3 linked regions of the Drosophila melanogaster genome follow. Changing the gene in region 1 together with any one later gene gives a genetic interaction. Each region holds a gene or a part of one and is shown in the gene's direction. Other genes may lie near its edges.

Region 1 (5,850 bases):
ATATGCCGCCGCATCATCATCAGCCGCAGCATCCACACCAGCATCCGCAGCACCATCCGCAGCTGCACCACATGCAGCACCACCATCCCAACAACCACAACAACAATCACCCCAACAACCACCATCATAACAACAACAACAACAACCACCACAACATGGGCGGCCCGCATCCGCACCACATGCAGCAAATGCACCCGATGGGCATGAACATGGGCATGGGCGTAAACATGGGAATGGGCATGGGCATGGGCATGCCCATTCACGGAGGCGGCGGTGGTGGTGGTGGCGGCGGCGGTGGAGGCGGTGGTGGTAACTTCCACCACATGGCGCACAGAGGTAGATCAAATAGAACAACACGATCTCAAAAACCGCATCCATATAACCATGCACAGAAATTTATTTAAACGCCATTAATTTCTTTACACGATATTAGCTGCATCTCACAGGTGAAGTGTTCATGCTGCCATTGCCGATTTGCAGCCGATTCCCCAGCCAGCCGCATCCCGTAGGCAATGGCATTTGCCACAGCCCCAACAAGAACAGCAGATTCCGTTTAAGCCGCCGCCCGCAAGCCTCCAGAACAACCATCAGATATATTGCGCATTCGGTGGCAGATCCCGTTCCCACTCCGACTACCTAGTGCCGCTCTACTTTCCAGCCCCCGCCCATCCATCAGTTGTTTCCATCTCCTCGCCAGCTGCGTCACTTTCGGCCTACCCAGCTGTTTTGGCCGTGTATGTTCCGGTATATGTCACGGTTCCGGTCTCTCTTCCTGTTACCATGAACAGAGCCAGTCCACAAGCTTAAAGTGAGTGCAGACGGAGGCGGCGGAGGCGGTGGCCACATGGTAGAAGCGAGTAGAAATAGATTGAGTGCAATCGGAGGAGGGAAGAGGAGATATTACCCAGAAGCGATATCCAATAGTAGCCAACTCTCTCGCTCTCTATGTGTATGTATGTATCTTGCTATCCATATATGTATATCCATATCAGAGAGCCAGGATTGGTTGAGACCATACGATATAACCCGAAACCACACTGGCCAGGAATAGCAAATCCAAGCATTGGCAGCAAGAGGCAAAGCAAAGGTGCACGGCAGACATAGGCAGTACCACAAGAACACTATCACAGAATTAAGCAGAGCAAATTAAAGATGCATAGCGTGTATTAAGATGTACGAAATAATGTTCCAAAGTTAACCAGCCTACACAATCCCCAACAACACACACACACACACACATAAAGACGGTCGGAGTCGAATCCTTGATCGAACCACATAAGAAAAAATTCCAATGAGTTTGTATGAGCAACATACAAAGCCCCAAACGCAAACCATCAGCCACTCAAGACGAGACGAGAACGCAACCAAAACTCAAATATAACTTTCCTGCACTCATCTCCAGTTCACGAAACAATCTTCGCTCTTGGTGGATTGCGAATTGTAAATGAATTGAGTAACTGCACGGATGCAAAGCCCCAAGATGTGGCGACTATTCCGGCCGGACACTGTGAGACGGACGTTACACACACGGATATATAGAGAGACGAACCTTATGACAACAGACAGAAGACGCTTGCTCTGAATAGATGGTTAATTTGTAGACTTATAAGGAACGTCGACAGCGAGGGTTCGTTCGCGTCACTTGCTTTTTACTACATTATAAATAAATTATTGATGTACTACCAACAAACCAAGAACAAGAACACCACACTATACAAACACCTATATATTAGATAATATATATGAATGATGTATAAATACCCGAACTTCGGGTAAACTTCCAACAGAAACCCGACAAGAAGATGGCTGAATATGAAATAAACTTGAAATTTTCCAACCAGCATACCCGTGAGACCCAGAGGTCCGAAATTTTTTTTTTTTAGTATTGATAATCTCTAAACGTAAATCCTAGTCTCGTAGCAATATCATAGTTAAGGTGACTTTTTTTTCAGAATAAACTTAAAGCACGAAAGAAATACATGTATTTAAACCTTAAATCCTAAAGTTTATAATAAACGAACACAAATTGAATTCTTGAGTCTGCGAGCGAGATGGTGCGATGCAGCCTCAGCGAAAGAGAGCGAGAGAGATGATACAGATTTGAGGTACAGTCAGCACAGTACAGTGCGGATCAGAGCTTAAGTTGACGATATACTATTGTTGTAAATTGATGTTAGGCTAAGCAAATAAATAGTTAAAATGTTCAATTTTCGCTTAGCTGAATCCTGATCGTCGTAAAAACGCATTTACACGAACATTATATACTAGTCATTAAGCGGTTCTATTTGACAGGTGAAAACAAGAAGCTGTGGCAGCCTTTTACTACAGAAACTAAAAAAGAAAAATACAAAGCTTGACATATACACGCATATTTGTGAACAAACTGAATTTTACCATACATCTTTGAGAATTTTAGGACAGTATTCTTGATAATCTATATTGAATGTTGATCTACACTTAACGTTGCACAAAAGAGGTATCTTTCTGACCTTCTATGCGCGTGGAGTGGATCCAAAAAATCAACTTGGTGTAATAAATGTGTATTTAAATCACAAAACGGGCATCTTTTCCCTTTCAATTGGACATCAGAGAGTTTCGACAACGCACACCTACTAGTTTTTTTGCGAGCTTAACTATTTCAAATGTGGTTGAGTAAAGCCATTAATATTGCTTTTTATAAATTCAGCATAAGTGGCAAGATGGTTTTAAATTGCGCGCCACTGCGGAACTACCTGGCATCACTGGCCGCCACTTATCGATAGCCACTGGAAGGCGAGAGAGAGAGAGAAAGAGAGGGCGCGAATCAGCTGCTGGAACGAGTGTTGTTGGAAGGCAGTGTTGTTGGAAGTGGCAGCGCCTTCCAATGTCAATTAAATAAGCAAAACGCGAAGAAAACCCAAGCGTAAAGGAGAGTCTCGTTGCCGCGCTCGAATAGAAATCCAGGAAATCAGTATCAATTCAACCGCCCTTGACACATCCACAACCACTTTGACATCCGAATCCGTATCCGGGCGAGGTGGCACGGCTGGCAGGAAGAACGTAACGTGAGTGGCTGCTCTATTCTATTCTATTCTGTTGATTCAGCGGAGTACACTACGCAATAACCGATAACGACCTTACCACCGCTCCCCTCTCCGCGCCCATCCGCAGCGGAGCAGTGGAGCACCCCCAGTCCAACAAGGAGCTACCTGCTCGAGATGCCCCAGATGAGGGCTGCGGCCGCTGAGGCGGTGGCCGCCGGCAGCGCCAATGGCCAGCCGCTGGTCAAGATTGGGCACTACCTACTGGGCGCAACCCTGGGAACGGGAACCTTCGGCAAGGTGAAGATCGGCGAGCACCAGATCACACGCGTCAAGGTGGCCGTCAAGATACTCAATCGTCAGAAGATCAAAAGCCTGGACGTCGTGGGCAAGATCCGGCGTGAGATCCAGAACCTAAAGCTCTTCCGCCATCCGCACATCATCAAGTTGTACCAGGTGAGTTCATGGCTCCAAGCTTAGACTTTCTAAGTCCAAGCTTTCCAGGAAACTGGGTTACTGGTTTCCTCTTCCAATTACGCTGGCCAGCTACTAATAACAAACAATCAAGCCGCAGTTTAATAAACAAAAAGGCAGGATATGCCCGAAGGGGGAATAGCTTTTCTATAACAACATTTTGGAGGTTTGTTTATCTATAAAGTACACGGTCATGCCTAGTCATCCGAATTTTGTTGCGGAAGGCAAATGCATATCTAGAAACTGGGCCACTGGCTAGACATTCGCAACAGACATAGAAGCCCAACTTAAATGAGCAAAAAGTTTGGAAGGAAAGTTTATAAAAGGAATATGTACGGGGTCTGCTTTGGTTTTACAAGCACATTTTCCCTCGATTTTCGGATTGGATCAGTTACCAATTAGGTTAGGCAGGGCTTGGGGGAACCTAGGGACGGCTGCAGTCATCAGCTGATATAAACGTGCTTGCTAACCTTTCCGTAACTCTCCGAAGGTCATATCGACGCCGTCGGACATCTTCATGATCATGGAGTACGTGAGCGGCGGGGAGCTGTTCGACTATATTGTGAAGCACGGCAAGCTGCAGGAGCACCAAGCGCGCCGCTTTTTTCAGCAGATTATCTCTGGCGTGGACTATTGCCACCGGCACATGATCGTGCATCGAGACCTGAAGCCAGAGAACCTGCTGCTCGACCACAACATGCACGTGAAGATCGCCGACTTTGGGCTCTCGAACATGATGCTGGACGGCGAGTTCCTGCGCACCTCGTGCGGCTCGCCCAACTACGCGGCGCCCGAGGTGATTTCCGGCAAGCTGTACGCCGGTCCCGAGGTGGACATCTGGTCGTGCGGCGTCATCCTGTACGCCCTGCTGTGCGGGACGCTGCCCTTTGACGACGAGCATGTGCCTACGCTGTTTCGCAAGATCAAGTCGGGCATTTTCCCCATTCCCGAGTACCTCAACAAACAAGTGGTCAATCTGGTCTGTCAGATGCTGCAAGTGGACCCGCTCAAGCGGGCCAACATCGAGGAAATCAAGAAGCACGAGTGGTTCCAAAAGGACCTCCCGGCCTACCTCTTCCCCTCGTCCATCGAGCAGGACTCCAATGTGATCGACACCTACGCTGTGGCAGAGGTCTGCACCAAGTTCGGCGTCAAGGAGACCGAGGTGCACAACTCGCTGCTCAGCGGCGATCCGCACGATCAGCTGGCCATCGCTTACCATCTGATCATCGACAACAAACGCTTCGCCGACGACGCGGCCAACCAAATAAACGAGATCAACAACTTCTTTGTGGCCGGCTCTCCACCACCGCCGCCGCCTCCGCCCGTTCCCCAATCATCGATGGACCACCAAGCCCCTCTGGCCACCGTGACCGTTGGCGGAGGTACCTCAGCCAGCTCGGGCACCGCCACACCAGTGCCACCAGTGGCTGGAGGCACGCCTAGCAGCACCATACCCATTCGACCGCATCCGGAGCGGATTGCGCCGATGCGGGACCGTCAACTGGCCATGTCCGTGCAGACATCTGGCGGCGGAGCCTTCCCGGAGAAAACCGCACGTGGCGGCACTCCCATCAAGCGCGCCAAGTGGCATCTGGGCATCCGGTCGCAGAGCAAGCCCAACGACATAATGCTCGAGGTATACCGAGCGATGAAGGCACTCAGCTACGAGTGGAAGATCATCAATCCGTACCACGTTCGGGTGCGCAGGCAGAACGTGAAGACCGGCAAGTTCTCGAAGATGTCACTGCAGCTGTACCAGGTGGACGCCAAGAGCTATCTGCTCGACTTCAAGTCGCTGACCAACGACGAGGTCGAGCAGGGCGACGACGTCATCATGGAGAGCCTTACTCCGCCGCCGCTTAGCGTGTCCGGGGTGATGCCGCTGCAGCCGACCGGCCACCACACCATGGAGTTTTTCGAAATGTGCGCCGCCCTGATCATTCAACTGGCTCGCTAAGGATGAGGTGACCGCCATCGGCCGCAGCGGACCGGATGGGATCTTCTCGGCTGGCGATCCGCACTCGGACAGTCCTGAGGATTGACCATTACCCGGAAGACACAGTCCCACAAAGGAAAGCTGGGGGGAGTTTCGGGCTCCGCGGATCCCGGAGTCTGGCCTTAACCACATGACTAAGTTCTTGCATTCGTCCCAAACCCTTTTGATTTTAATCGGAAACCCAATGTGCAATTATCGGTAGCAGGATTTGGGAATAGATTTTAAAAATGGCCTGCTACTAGACGACGAACAAGAGCTTGGGACTCCGACTCCAGCTTTTCTTTGTGCGGCTGTGTAATCCACATAAAATGTTATTGAACTCGGACACCGCCAACCGCCGTTGCCGCTACGCTACCG
Region 2 (5,850 bases), on another chromosome or scaffold:
AATGCAGCCCTACAAGGAGAGACAGGGTTGGCTTGCAAACAGCCGCCGAACAGCTGTTGTTTACCTTGCTCAGTATTTTTTCAGTACGCCCAGGCGAACGGTCACACCGAGTTAGTGGTCCGAATTACGCGTGAAATACGAATAAAAAATCGAGCGAAAAATAACAAAACACAGTACTCTAGTCGATCACAAGCTGATAACGTATCAGCCGTGCCACACGCCCATCCGGGATTCGCGAGAACCACACTAGTCGGAGAGTCAGGACTCCAATAGCCGCCAAGAGGCCGTTTTGCACCCGGAAAAGAACAGTTACACACAACAAAATTGCCAACCGAAAGAAACGTGCGAAGCGCAGTGCGATGGAGAAGAGTAAGTGCGGTAATCTAAGCACTAAACGGGTAATTACGGCCCGATCCTATACGATACGATCCGAGCGAAATGTATGCGCATATGTGTATGCAAATGAGTGGGGTGAACAACCCCACAGCATAGTCGTATGTAGATCGGGACCCGCGTTTGTTTAGCATTTGAATTCGCTGGCTAAAGTGCGGATTTCAATCAAAGTGCAATGGGCAGCATAAATTCCAATTGCTTCCATCTGCAATATGCTCAATATGTCTTGCCTTGCTCGCCCTCTCTCGCTCGCGCACTCGCTGCTGACCTTGATTCCTATTGGATTTTACACATCGCGCGATGCCCGTGACGTATGTGTGTGTGTGTGTATGGGCGAGAGAGCAGCATAGCTGCCAACGTGTGTGTATGTCGGCCGGCATCAATTACCTAATAAGAACTAAATTGGAGACTGCATTTCTTGTTGGTATTGTATTGCATAAATACGATATAAGTATATTTATGAAATATGAGCATATCACAAGGACTCGAATCGGAAATTCAATCCAACGCAGTCACTACAAATTCGTAGTATTTTGCTAAGAAATTAAAAAACAATTTAACTGTAAACCGTGCACTTTACAGTGTCTACAAGATTTCAAGTGTGTTATCACGCACAAATCGGTTGTTTGTTGCTCTGTAGAAATCCTAGAGATAAGCACATCGAAATCAGGCGTTTCACACGCGACCGACTTTCGGTTCTATTATTATTTGGCTGTGATATCAGTAGACGGTTTTTTTCTGGCCACGCGCCAAACATGAATAATTCGAACAGAATCGAACACCGAAATACAAAAATTTCCGTGCGATAAGATGCCGGGAAAGATTTGGAATTGAGCCCGAGCCGAAACCATGAAGACCCGTCACCGTTAAGTATTAATCATAATCGGTCGCCAAGGCCAATGCCGAAATCGGAAGATTTTTCAGGCACTCGCCGCCTATCTGAGATTAAAGCGGGCGTCGCGTCGGGAATTTCTTTTATGACTTTTAAAAAACCTCTGCTGATGCCGGGAGCAGCGAGCATCACGGAATGAAAACAAATCAGCGGCGTTCGCGTGTTCTGCTCGTGGCAGCGCACTGAATTCGTTAATAATAATTCGATTCAAGTGCATCGCGCTAATCAATTTCTGGCGTTTTCGCCCATTTAACCCTAATCAGCATCGCTTGCCACTTACGCCAGCAAATTGAGAAATTATGGTCGTTGTTGTTGCTGCTTGCTGCTCCCAGCAGCAGAGTGCATTTCCGTCAGCGGTTGGGTCAACTCCCAGATTAAGTCCAGCTGGAGCAGCAACAACAACAACAGCAGTACCGAATGCCATCGGCGACCTTGACATTGAAAAGCTACCGCCGCCCATGAGACAGAGATACATGGAAGAGAAAAGAGCGGGACGCACTGCTAGTGACAGAGAGGGGTAGACGGTTGTTGGCAACAGCTGATCGCCATCATCATGTCGCTCTTATCTTTTATCAGCCGCAGACCGTTAAGGTATAATTGCTGTGCAACAGTGGAACTTTCCTATAGTGGAACTCACTGATGTTAAGCTGATTGCGATTGCCGCTGGAAGGGCATGCTTTTATGGTTAGTTTTTATGAGTTTTTAGTTTGGAAACTACGCAAAAAATCCAATATAAAACAAAATGTCATTGTAGTTATTCCAGAACTTGTTGAATCGGTATATACAGAAACCTTATTCATCACTGACGACAATAAAGAAATGATTTTGTTAAATATTTCTCTGGTGCCACTGTACCCAGCATTTATTTATTCGGACATTGTTATGGCATAATTGGTTCACAAAAAGATCACTGAAACCGACGGAGCACACTGGTCGTCATTACTTGAGCCACCTTCATAAAAATTGTTATTAATCCGGCAGGTTGCCCCGCTTAATTCGACCGCCTTTCTGTTCGAATTAGTGGCGCTCCTTGTACATATGTAGTTCTTATGTAGTACATAGTGCACATATATTCCTCCTGGTCACTTGGCGCTGGCTGAGCCAGCAATAAGCAAAACAATAACACAACAACAACAACAACAATTGGCTTGGCGACCCGCGAGACCCGCTGGCGATTAACATACGAGCGCAACAACCTGAACACGCACAAACACAGGTCCGCGCACGAAAACCTGGCCGTAGACGTAGTCAAAGCTATAGCTATAGTTGATATTGATAGTGGCGACGCCGAAGTCGGCGTCCGCTGCGCGTTCGGAGAAGCGGCGTTCAGGCATCGATAGTGCTTTTCGGACGAGCATGGCCCAGTTGAGTTCCAATCGTCGGTCACTGCAGTAGCCATCTAGAAATCGTGCGGAACCAGTCAGTCTAGGAAGTTCAAACCGATCCTACACGGTCTACTACAATCCGATCCGATCCGGTCCGACCTCGTCTTCGAAACTGCCATCACAAGCTAAACAAGGGCACACGCAGAGTGGTAAAGCGAGCTGAAACCGTAGATCTAAATCCTAAGACGAACTAAACCCAAAACACAACCGTATCATATCCAGCCAAGGTCCCGAAAAGTGCTGCCCTAGAGATAATCGCACGTCGAGTAAGATTCTTTTGTTTTCGACTGTTGAGTAATGCCAGCAGAGTTCTTATCACAGGATCGGTGGTAAATAAAGCACAATTAAAAGACTCCATCCATTGCGAGGGTGCGCACTAACGGAGCTACTTGAGTACGGGACCGGGCCACACCTGTTGAGTCGTTTCCAGCGCAGAGTGTAACCCAAGTCCCAGTTCTCTGCGCGATTTCCGAGTAAGCGGTTACATAACACCCCGCTGGTTGCCAGAGATCGATTCCGGTGTCCAATCCGACTTTCCGTGTCTTTCAATGCCCGCCGCCTGGCTGGCACACTTACACACGTGCACACATGTATACTGTAATGCCAAAATCATTGACCTCTTCTGCTGGCCATACCACACCGATTTGCATTTCCTCACACCAACCAACCAACTGGGGGGGTTTTGTTTCTGTCAGCTTAAGTTTCTTCAATTTTCCCTTCGCGCTCTTCGCCGTTTTGTTTTAATTTTAAATGCGCTGCACATTGAACCTCATATCCGAAATTAATTTTCGTGTTTTTAAGTTTTATCGCCCTGCCAAAGGGTATCTAAAGTAGATTATTTAGTAGTGAAGCCATCTTTGACCCGGAAACAGCTTGAGCTCCTGTATTTTCGTATAGTATATTGAAAACTTTGATATGTACTTAGATTGAAACTTTTCAAGTGATATATGCAGGTGTAATAGTGTTGATTAAATCGTAATTCGACACCTGTCACTAATTACGTAGTTGCTAAACATAATATTCACTTGCGCCTTTACAACGTACTTTGAAATACTTATTGCATACTTTTGAAGTCACCCGCTTGATCTGTAGATTAGTTTGAATTTCCCGTAGAGTATACCTTATTCGTTGACCACATCTCTTATCAGCTGCCTCATTGACCTGGCAACGATTTATTTTTGGGTCTCATATGGTTGTTTTTTCGGTTTCTTAATTGTATCTCGCAAACTAGTTAATGCATTGATTAGCATTTTCATTTTGTTTTGTTTCGCCGCTTTGGCCTACAATATCGTGGCAAGGTTTTTGAACTTGAAAAGTATCCGAAACAAGATGATGCACAGGCACTTTCACTATCTACACACTGTAAACTAACCCAGCTAGCTGGCCACCAGATAGCAGATTATCTAATCCGATTTGCATTCACCGATTTAAAGCAGCTTTTTGGATTTAGCCGATGTTGATCACGATATTAGGCACTCTGGCTGCTTTTCTCGCATTCCTCTTGACATTGATCTTTGGCCGCGGCCAGAAAAGATCCAAACCCGTCCAATCGTCTGCAGCAACATCCGCCACGACAGCAACAACTGGCGACAGCGACAACGGCAACACCAATCGTAAGAATCCCCCACTTTGCTAAACCGAAACACTTGAAGGGCACACAAATCGCACACCTAGCTGATAACCCAGTTTAATTAGTTCATTATGTGTATACGACTTTTGACCACGACTCACGCGTACCTTGTTTTCCTTATCTCTGCTTACAGACAACTCCAGCGTGATTGCAGCTACAGCAACGGCAACAACCACCAGCAGCAAGCCTCCTATTGCTCCAGCAGCACCTCCTTCGGCGGTAAAAGCGAGTGACAAGCGATTCCCCAAGGCGTGCATCAAGAAGGTCCAGTTCTCCAGCGAGAGCCTCCGGTCCGACGTGGATGAGCTGTGCGACCAGCTGAAGGATAGCGCACTCAGCAATCTGAGCAACGACAACATTCGCATTGCCTGCCACCAGAACAACAACAACAGCAGCATCAACAAGAACCAGAACAACAACAGCATCGACATCAGCATCAGCATCAGCAAGATGAGCGAAACAAATGAGTCCAATGACACGGCCGCCCAATCCGCCGAGGGCGAGCGGCCCAGCTTTTTGGTACGATTCATCATATTTCCCATCTCTTGGCACCATCACTCAGCCACCGTTTCCCTTCCACAGGTGGGTGATGAGATCGACGAGCGGGCCGCCGAGGCGGGCGAGGCATGTGACGAGTTCCCCCTGAAGATGCAGAACGATGTCCGCCAGAATGGCGATATTTCCGAGCGGCGCAAGCGGTTAAGGTAAGTCGATTTGGGTTTAGCCCAAATGAAAATGGGACAGAAAACATCAGAAGTACATTATGGTTGTGGATAGAAAGCCATTTATTAGACAGAAATTTCTTAAATGAGATTGCGGTCTTTATACTTAGAATTAAATACATTGAAGATAGCATAAGGATATATATGAGGACTTTTAATAATCTAGTTTGTTATTCATATGATTATGATAGGCTAAGCAAGCTATTGTATATCATCATGTTTTCTTTGATTTAAATTAGAAATCCAATAACAAATAGCGCTTAATCTAGTTTAATTGATTCAGTTCAGCATTTCCTCCCAATCTTATCTTCATAATGCTTGCAGATTAGGACTTTTTGAATCTGGCAACCCATCCACTTCAATTAAAGCTATTCTTTCATTTAGACACTTGAGAATTGAAGCGTTTATAGCTCAAGATATGCAATCCATCCCCAATGGCGCCCACATTTGCGCTGAGTGTATCGAGCAAAACAAAAACAGGTGGCTGCGTCACAGCCAAACGCCGCCAAACATATCGCGTGAGTTTAGGGAAAAGAGACAGCGAAAAGCTCGCGACCGTGTGTGCGAGTGGGAGGCAGTCTCTCACCCAGCTTTCCGAGAACTTTCGCGGTGCGCAAACATGGAGAGAAAAGTGGCGGCAATAGAGATAGAGAGTGCCATGTGGGAACGCCGCATTTTGTTTTCATTCATATAATGTTCAAAACTCGTTTGGCCAGCGGCTGGCTCGCTCAGCGGCTCTCTCCGCTTCTCCGGCCCACGGGGCGTATGAGCGATGGTGGCCAACACCGCTCTGCGGTTCAGTTCCCTGGCAGTCGTCGGCTCTGTCGG
Region 3 (5,850 bases), on another chromosome or scaffold:
GGGCATGGCGGAAATAGCGTTAGCTATGCCGCCGATATTGATAACCGCCACCCCGGAGATCTGGACTTCTTCAGCGGTTCCTCCAATCAGCATCATAGATCCAAAGCGGCTGGTGGGAGTAAGCTGACTAACTGGATGACTAACATCTTCAAGGGCAACGGCGTGCGTAGCGGTGAGGCTAGGCGAGTAGGAATCCTGCCCAGCGGTGTGCACGGCGCACGAACCGGATTCACGGATATGGCGGCATCGGCAGCAGCCCGCGATCGTGAGAGTATAGTATAGAGATAAGGAGAAGGCAGTGTAGAAACTAAGGAAGAAGGAGCAGGATGACCAGGATGAGCTAAATAGCCGGATGAGAGAGATGGAAAAGTTACTCAGGAACCGAGTCGAGCAGGAAACGATCGTCTTTTGGCTTACTTCTTTGTTTTATGTATTGTAGTTTGTATGGATCGAACGAATTGTGTGTCTGTGTTGGAAGTCATCCACCTATAAACATATACCAGCCGGTTCTTAACTCTTTGATCGCTCTGGCATTGCGGGACTCTACATATGTGTCCTATGGGTTTCCAAACTATTTTTATTCGTTTTCGAGGAAAATCCTGCGATCCCGAAGTAGAAGCGAGCAGAAGCTGAAGCGAAAATCATACATAGCATATATTTTATAACTCTACATACATACATATTAGAGAAGCCGAAAAAACCGTCTAGTCACAAGGTCTTCAGACTAGTTATTGTTTTATATAAAATAAACACACACCCACACATCTAAATGTACGTTTGTAAATGTAACACATAAACACAACGACACACATATTTATACGACGATGGAGAATCAAAATCAAATATTTTATGTAAATGTAATCGAAATTTTCTGCTTTCCATACACGATGCGCAGCAGCAAACAAATTATGCTTAAACAGAAACTAGTTAATTTATGTATTTGAAAATCAAAACGAGCGTGAAAAATGTAATGTATCAATGTGTTTTGCTAGTACGTAGTTAAGTGCGTGTGATTGTACGTAATATTTAAGTCTCTAAAGCTAAAATAATAATTATAATTAATTGAACGCGAATTGTGAGCAGAGAAGAGCGAAAATGCGCCCGATGAGAGGTGTTTTAGCTGTATGTATGTATGTATGTATATTTTTAAATGAAAATTTGTTAAATTTGCCATATATAAATACAAACGAGAAACTATTAAAAGTGTGTTTGTCCAGATATGCTTAAATGGTGCAAAATGTTCAATAGATGGTAGATACGAGGGTGAATCCTGCGGGAAAGACTAGAAACTTGGAGAACACTTCTTCTAAAAGAAACATTTTTAAAATATTCCGAGCACTGGGAACAGTTGTGTTTTGTGTTTCGACAAACATTTCTGAAGTCGTGGTGAATACAAAAAAACATGTTAAGCATATAAGAGATCACTGTAAGTGTGATCTCACGATAAGATCTCTGTAAGTTCTTGCAACTAAAGCCATCGATTCATTGGAACTCCTTTTGAAATGTTTATGCACTGGGAACAGTGAAACGTATGGGAAGACTTCGTGGGTTTTATCAAGAGTTCTTCTTGGGCAGAAAGAAAACATTTGTTTTTTCCTGTGAGTATTATATTTGCTCCAAATGATTATGTATTATTTTACGCTTTTAGTTTATTGGAACTCCTTTTGAAATGTTTATGCACTGGGAACAGTGAAACGTATGGGAAGACTTCGTGGGTTTTATCAAGAGTTCTTCTTGGGCAGAAAGAAAACATTTGTTTTTTCCTGTGAGTATTATATTTGCTCCAAATGATTATGTATTATTTTACGCTTTTAGTTTATTTTTTAACTTCAATTTAATAAGATAACTAAGCATTAGTGACAGATGTTGACATATGTAAGTACGTACGTATGTTTAATGTAAAATACAATGTCAAAAATGAGGTAGCAGTTTTCAAGACCGCAAAATAAAGTTGATTTCTCATAAATTCAAAAATATAAAAAAAGGAAATAGTCATATTTCTTGAACATAAAAGAATAATAAATGGATGGACCTCAATATAATTTTGAATGTACGTCCATGTAGCGTCGATGAGTTAGCTGCGTTAGAGGAACGGCGGAATTTGGAATACGGGGAAGTTTTTAATTAATTATTTTTTCGATATTTAGAGCTGAGTTCTATAAACTGAACTCGTACATAGATAGTTAGATCTTTTCTTTCTTAACATTATTTAATTTTTTTTGGAATTCACCTCCAAATAACGGAAAAAAATAAATAAATAGGAAAGTTCTCCATGTTTCATGTTTCACCGTGCTGCACTTGAATTTTGACTACCGATGAAAAGGCGCGCGATTTAAATAATCGATGATTGCAAGCAACTATCGATGCTGAACTCTATTTGGAACAGTCGATTATATCGAATAAACATCTGTAATCGTTTAAACCTATTGAAAACAAAGCAATTTTCGTGGTCTTTTGGCCAGTATTTAATATAAATTCGCTGGCAAAAGTCGCGTATTAATTGCAAAAGAACACATATTTACCTCCCCTCCCCCGATTGCTTGTTGCGCCTGTGCGGATTCTTCTTTTGCATGTCGACTGGGCGGGCAAAAGAAAGTTAGCACGGAGAACAACAACGCAGGTGACTTGACCTCGCAACGAAGGAGGAGCACATCGAGATGCAGAGCTACGGCCCCGGAGCCCAGACAGCTCCGGCCGTCAAGCGCCGCACGGACAGCTACGAGGCTGCCCAGCAACAGCAGCAGTCGCCGGAGAGCGACGAGGAGTACGTGAACACCAGGATACTGCGGCGCCAAGTGCAGCTGCAGTCCACTCCGGTGGCCCCGGTGGTGCCCATGCCCATATCCGCCGGTAGTGGCACTGCCCCACCCTCCGTGGATGGCCGCGAGGAGCAGCCCGAATTCCCCGGATCCTCGGCTGCATCTTACCAGGAGGAGCGAATGCGCAGGAAGCTTCAGTTCTTCTTTATGAACCCCATTGAGAAATGGCAGGCCAAGCGGAAATTTCCGTACAAGTTCGTTGTGCAGGTGAGTTCACATCCGGGTTTCATTTGCAGTTCACATCTGGATGAATGCTAGTTAATTGAAGTCGTGTGATGCGCGGCGTTTGGGGGCGGAACTCGGGTGACACATCTGAACCACTTATTTAGGCATTTCTCTTAATTTACAGACGCCTTTAAACAGCCGTCTCCGATCTTCAATGTTTGTCTAGATTTCGAGCATGTAAAATGGGGTAGAGTCAACACAGTCTTGATTACTTTGCTTGCATTGTTAAGCCCCTCCACTCTTATCGATGCCTTATCTGATAGGTCCAACTATTGTTAGCACAATACGTAATAAACAAAGTGAAAATTCAAGAATTTTATGGCTAGAAACTGCGTGTGGACGCTTTTGTAGAACCCAAAAAGTTATTTAATATGCGATAAACATCGTGGTCAGGGGGATTTCTTTTGTGCGATTTTTAATGATTAATGCGAAAATGTTATGACTAGTCTTTAAGTCTACACTTAGTCTCTAAGGTCTACAACTAAATTAGATTTCCTGTAGATACCCAATAAATATAGTCTGACGCATGCTCTAACATAATTCGGCTTCTATTTATAGCCCAGCCTCTAGATCTCTGAACTGGCGACCAAGAAAAGGTCCGTCCCCTGAGGCCAAAAGGCAAATAGAAACTTTAAAAGTTATACTATAAACATTTCTTAGCAACTCAAGAATTTTTCTCTTAGATTGTAAAAATCTTTCTGGTGACGATGCAATTGTGCCTTTTTGCCCACTCGCGGTATAACCACATCAACTACACGGGTGATAACCGATTTGCCTTCTCACATCTATTCCTGCGCGGCTGGGATTCTTCCCGGGAGGTGGAGAGTTATCCGCCTGCTGTGGGTCCCTTTGCTCTATACCTCAAATCGGAGTTCTTCGACACTGTGCAGTATGCAGTCAATGGCTACGCGAATGTAAGCCGATCTATTGGACCATACGACTACCCGACGCCCAATAACACAATGCCGCCACTAAAGCTTTGCCTGCAGAACTATAGAGAGGGCACCATATTTGGCTTTAATGAGTCCTACATTTTCGATCCACATATCGACGAGGTGTGTGAGCGACTACCTCCGAACGTAACCACCATTGGGGTGGAGAATTACCTCAGGCAGCGCGATGTGGAGGTCAATTTTGCATCTCTTGTCTCCGCACAGTTGACGTTCAAGATAAAGACGGTTAATTTCAAGGCAAATGGTGGACCTCTTTCTGCTCCTGATTGTTTTCGGTTTGACATTTCCATAACGTTTAACAACCGAGACCATGACGGGCAAATGCTGCTCTCACTGGATGCGGAGGCGACGCGGCTGAAGTGCCACGGAGCAACGGACTTCATATCAGACGCCAATTTCGATTCCATGCTGCGAAGCGTACTTAATATATTCGTCCTACTAACATGCGCACTATCCTTTGCACTCTGTACAAGGGCTCTGTGGAGAGCATATCTGCTGAGATGTACAACTGTCAACTTTTTCCGTTCGCAATTCGGCAAGGAGCTGAGCTTTGACGGCCGACTGGAATTCGTTAACTTTTGGTGAGTCCTTTGTTTTGTGTTATAAAAACCTCGGCTATATTGGCAACAAGTATTACCCATAATGCTGAAGGTTAGGCCGACGTAAACCCAAAAATTATCAGAAAGGTTGCAGACTATAATAAACCGTTTTGCTTTCGCAGGTACATCATGATCATTTTCAATGACGTCCTTTTGATCATTGGATCAGCTCTAAAAGAGCAAATCGAGGGAAGGTACTTGGTGGTGGACCAATGGGATACCTGCTCGCTTTTTCTGGGAATTGGCAACCTGCTTGTTTGGTTCGGAGTGCTGCGCTACCTCGGCTTCTTCAAAACCTACAACGTTGTGATACTGACGCTGAAAAAGGCGGCACCAAAGATTCTGCGCTTCCTTATCGCCGCCTTGCTGATCTATGCTGGATTTGTGTTTTGCGGCTGGCTGATCTTGGGACCCTATCACATGAAGTTCCGATCGCTGGCTACAACGTCAGAGTGCTTGTTTGCGCTGATAAACGGTGATGATATGTTCGCCACCTTTGCCACGCTTTCCAGCAAGGCCACCTGGCTGTGGTGGTTCTGCCAGATCTACTTGTACTCGTTCATATCCTTGTACATTTATGTGGTCCTGTCGCTGTTCATTGCCGTCATAATGGATGCCTACGACACGATAAAGGCGTATTACAAGGATGGCTTTCCCACCACCGATCTCAAGGCATTTGTCGGAACGCGCACTGCAGAGGACATTAGTTCTGGTGTCTTCATGACCGACCTGGACGACTTCGACCAGACGAGCTTCCTTGACGTGGTGAAGAGCATTTGCTGCTGTGGACGGTGCGGTCGGCATCAGGAGCCCGCCCAGCCCAACAGTGGTTACACCAGCCTTTCTAGTATTATGAAGTAACTGGGTGCGCTATGTCGACCCGCAGGTCTTCATTTTGTTTTGTTTTGTCAGCTTTATGTGTGTAGTCAAACTTGTTGTTAGCTTTTTGTATTAGTTTGTTAATTTGCCAAAGCACTTGAACCGAGATAAGAGAAACCATAACGTACGTACCTATGAGAAATTCCAAAAGCAGCTGCTCTGATCACAAACAGCGGGCATGTTCCGATTTTATCTTTCGCAGCAATGGCTTTAATTCGGTTTGCAGAAATATAATTCTGACTGAAATTCATTTTTCTTCAATACAAAAATTACAAAATGTATAAGACCAAAAGGAAAAACTAAATGTAAGGCGAATTTGTGTCATTTCTGCGAAAGTAAAATCCGAAAAATGACTAAGAAAGGGCACCAAGCAAC

The links.
Region 2: of AMPKalpha (region 1) and ACC, changing one suppresses a phenotype caused by changing the other (phenotypic suppression), as found in Drosophila melanogaster (one study listed by BioGRID).
Region 3: of AMPKalpha (region 1) and Trpml, changing one suppresses a phenotype caused by changing the other (phenotypic suppression), as found in Drosophila melanogaster (one study listed by BioGRID).

What each region holds. Positions count from the first base shown.
Region 1 is NC_004354.4:1,372,712-1,378,561, forward strand, and holds the start of AMPKalpha (AMP-activated protein kinase alpha subunit), read left to right. Parts: upstream 1-2,824; 5' UTR 2,825-3,044; exon of another isoform or gene 3,045-3,158; 5' UTR 3,159-3,197; coding exon 3,198-3,476; intron 3,477-3,984; coding exon 3,985-5,454; 3' UTR 5,455-5,850. Other genes in the region: ssx (sister-of-Sex-lethal), read left to right, coding at 1-336, 447-640.
Region 2 is NT_033778.4:7,984,035-7,989,884, reverse strand, and holds the start of ACC (Acetyl-CoA carboxylase), read left to right. Parts: upstream 1-2,647; 5' UTR 2,648-2,819; exon of another isoform or gene 2,820-2,936; intron 2,937-4,106; 5' UTR 4,107-4,123; coding exon 4,124-4,283; intron 4,284-4,433; coding exon 4,434-4,819; intron 4,820-4,882; coding exon 4,883-5,004; intron 5,005-5,821; exon of another isoform or gene 5,822-5,850.
Region 3 is NT_037436.4:19,714,876-19,720,725, reverse strand, and holds the start of Trpml (transient receptor potential cation channel, mucolipin), read left to right. Parts: upstream 1-2,397; 5' UTR 2,398-2,657; coding exon 2,658-3,026; intron 3,027-3,727; coding exon 3,728-4,578; intron 4,579-4,718; coding exon 4,719-5,457; 3' UTR 5,458-5,850. Other genes in the region: CG42637 (uncharacterized protein), read left to right, coding at 1-282.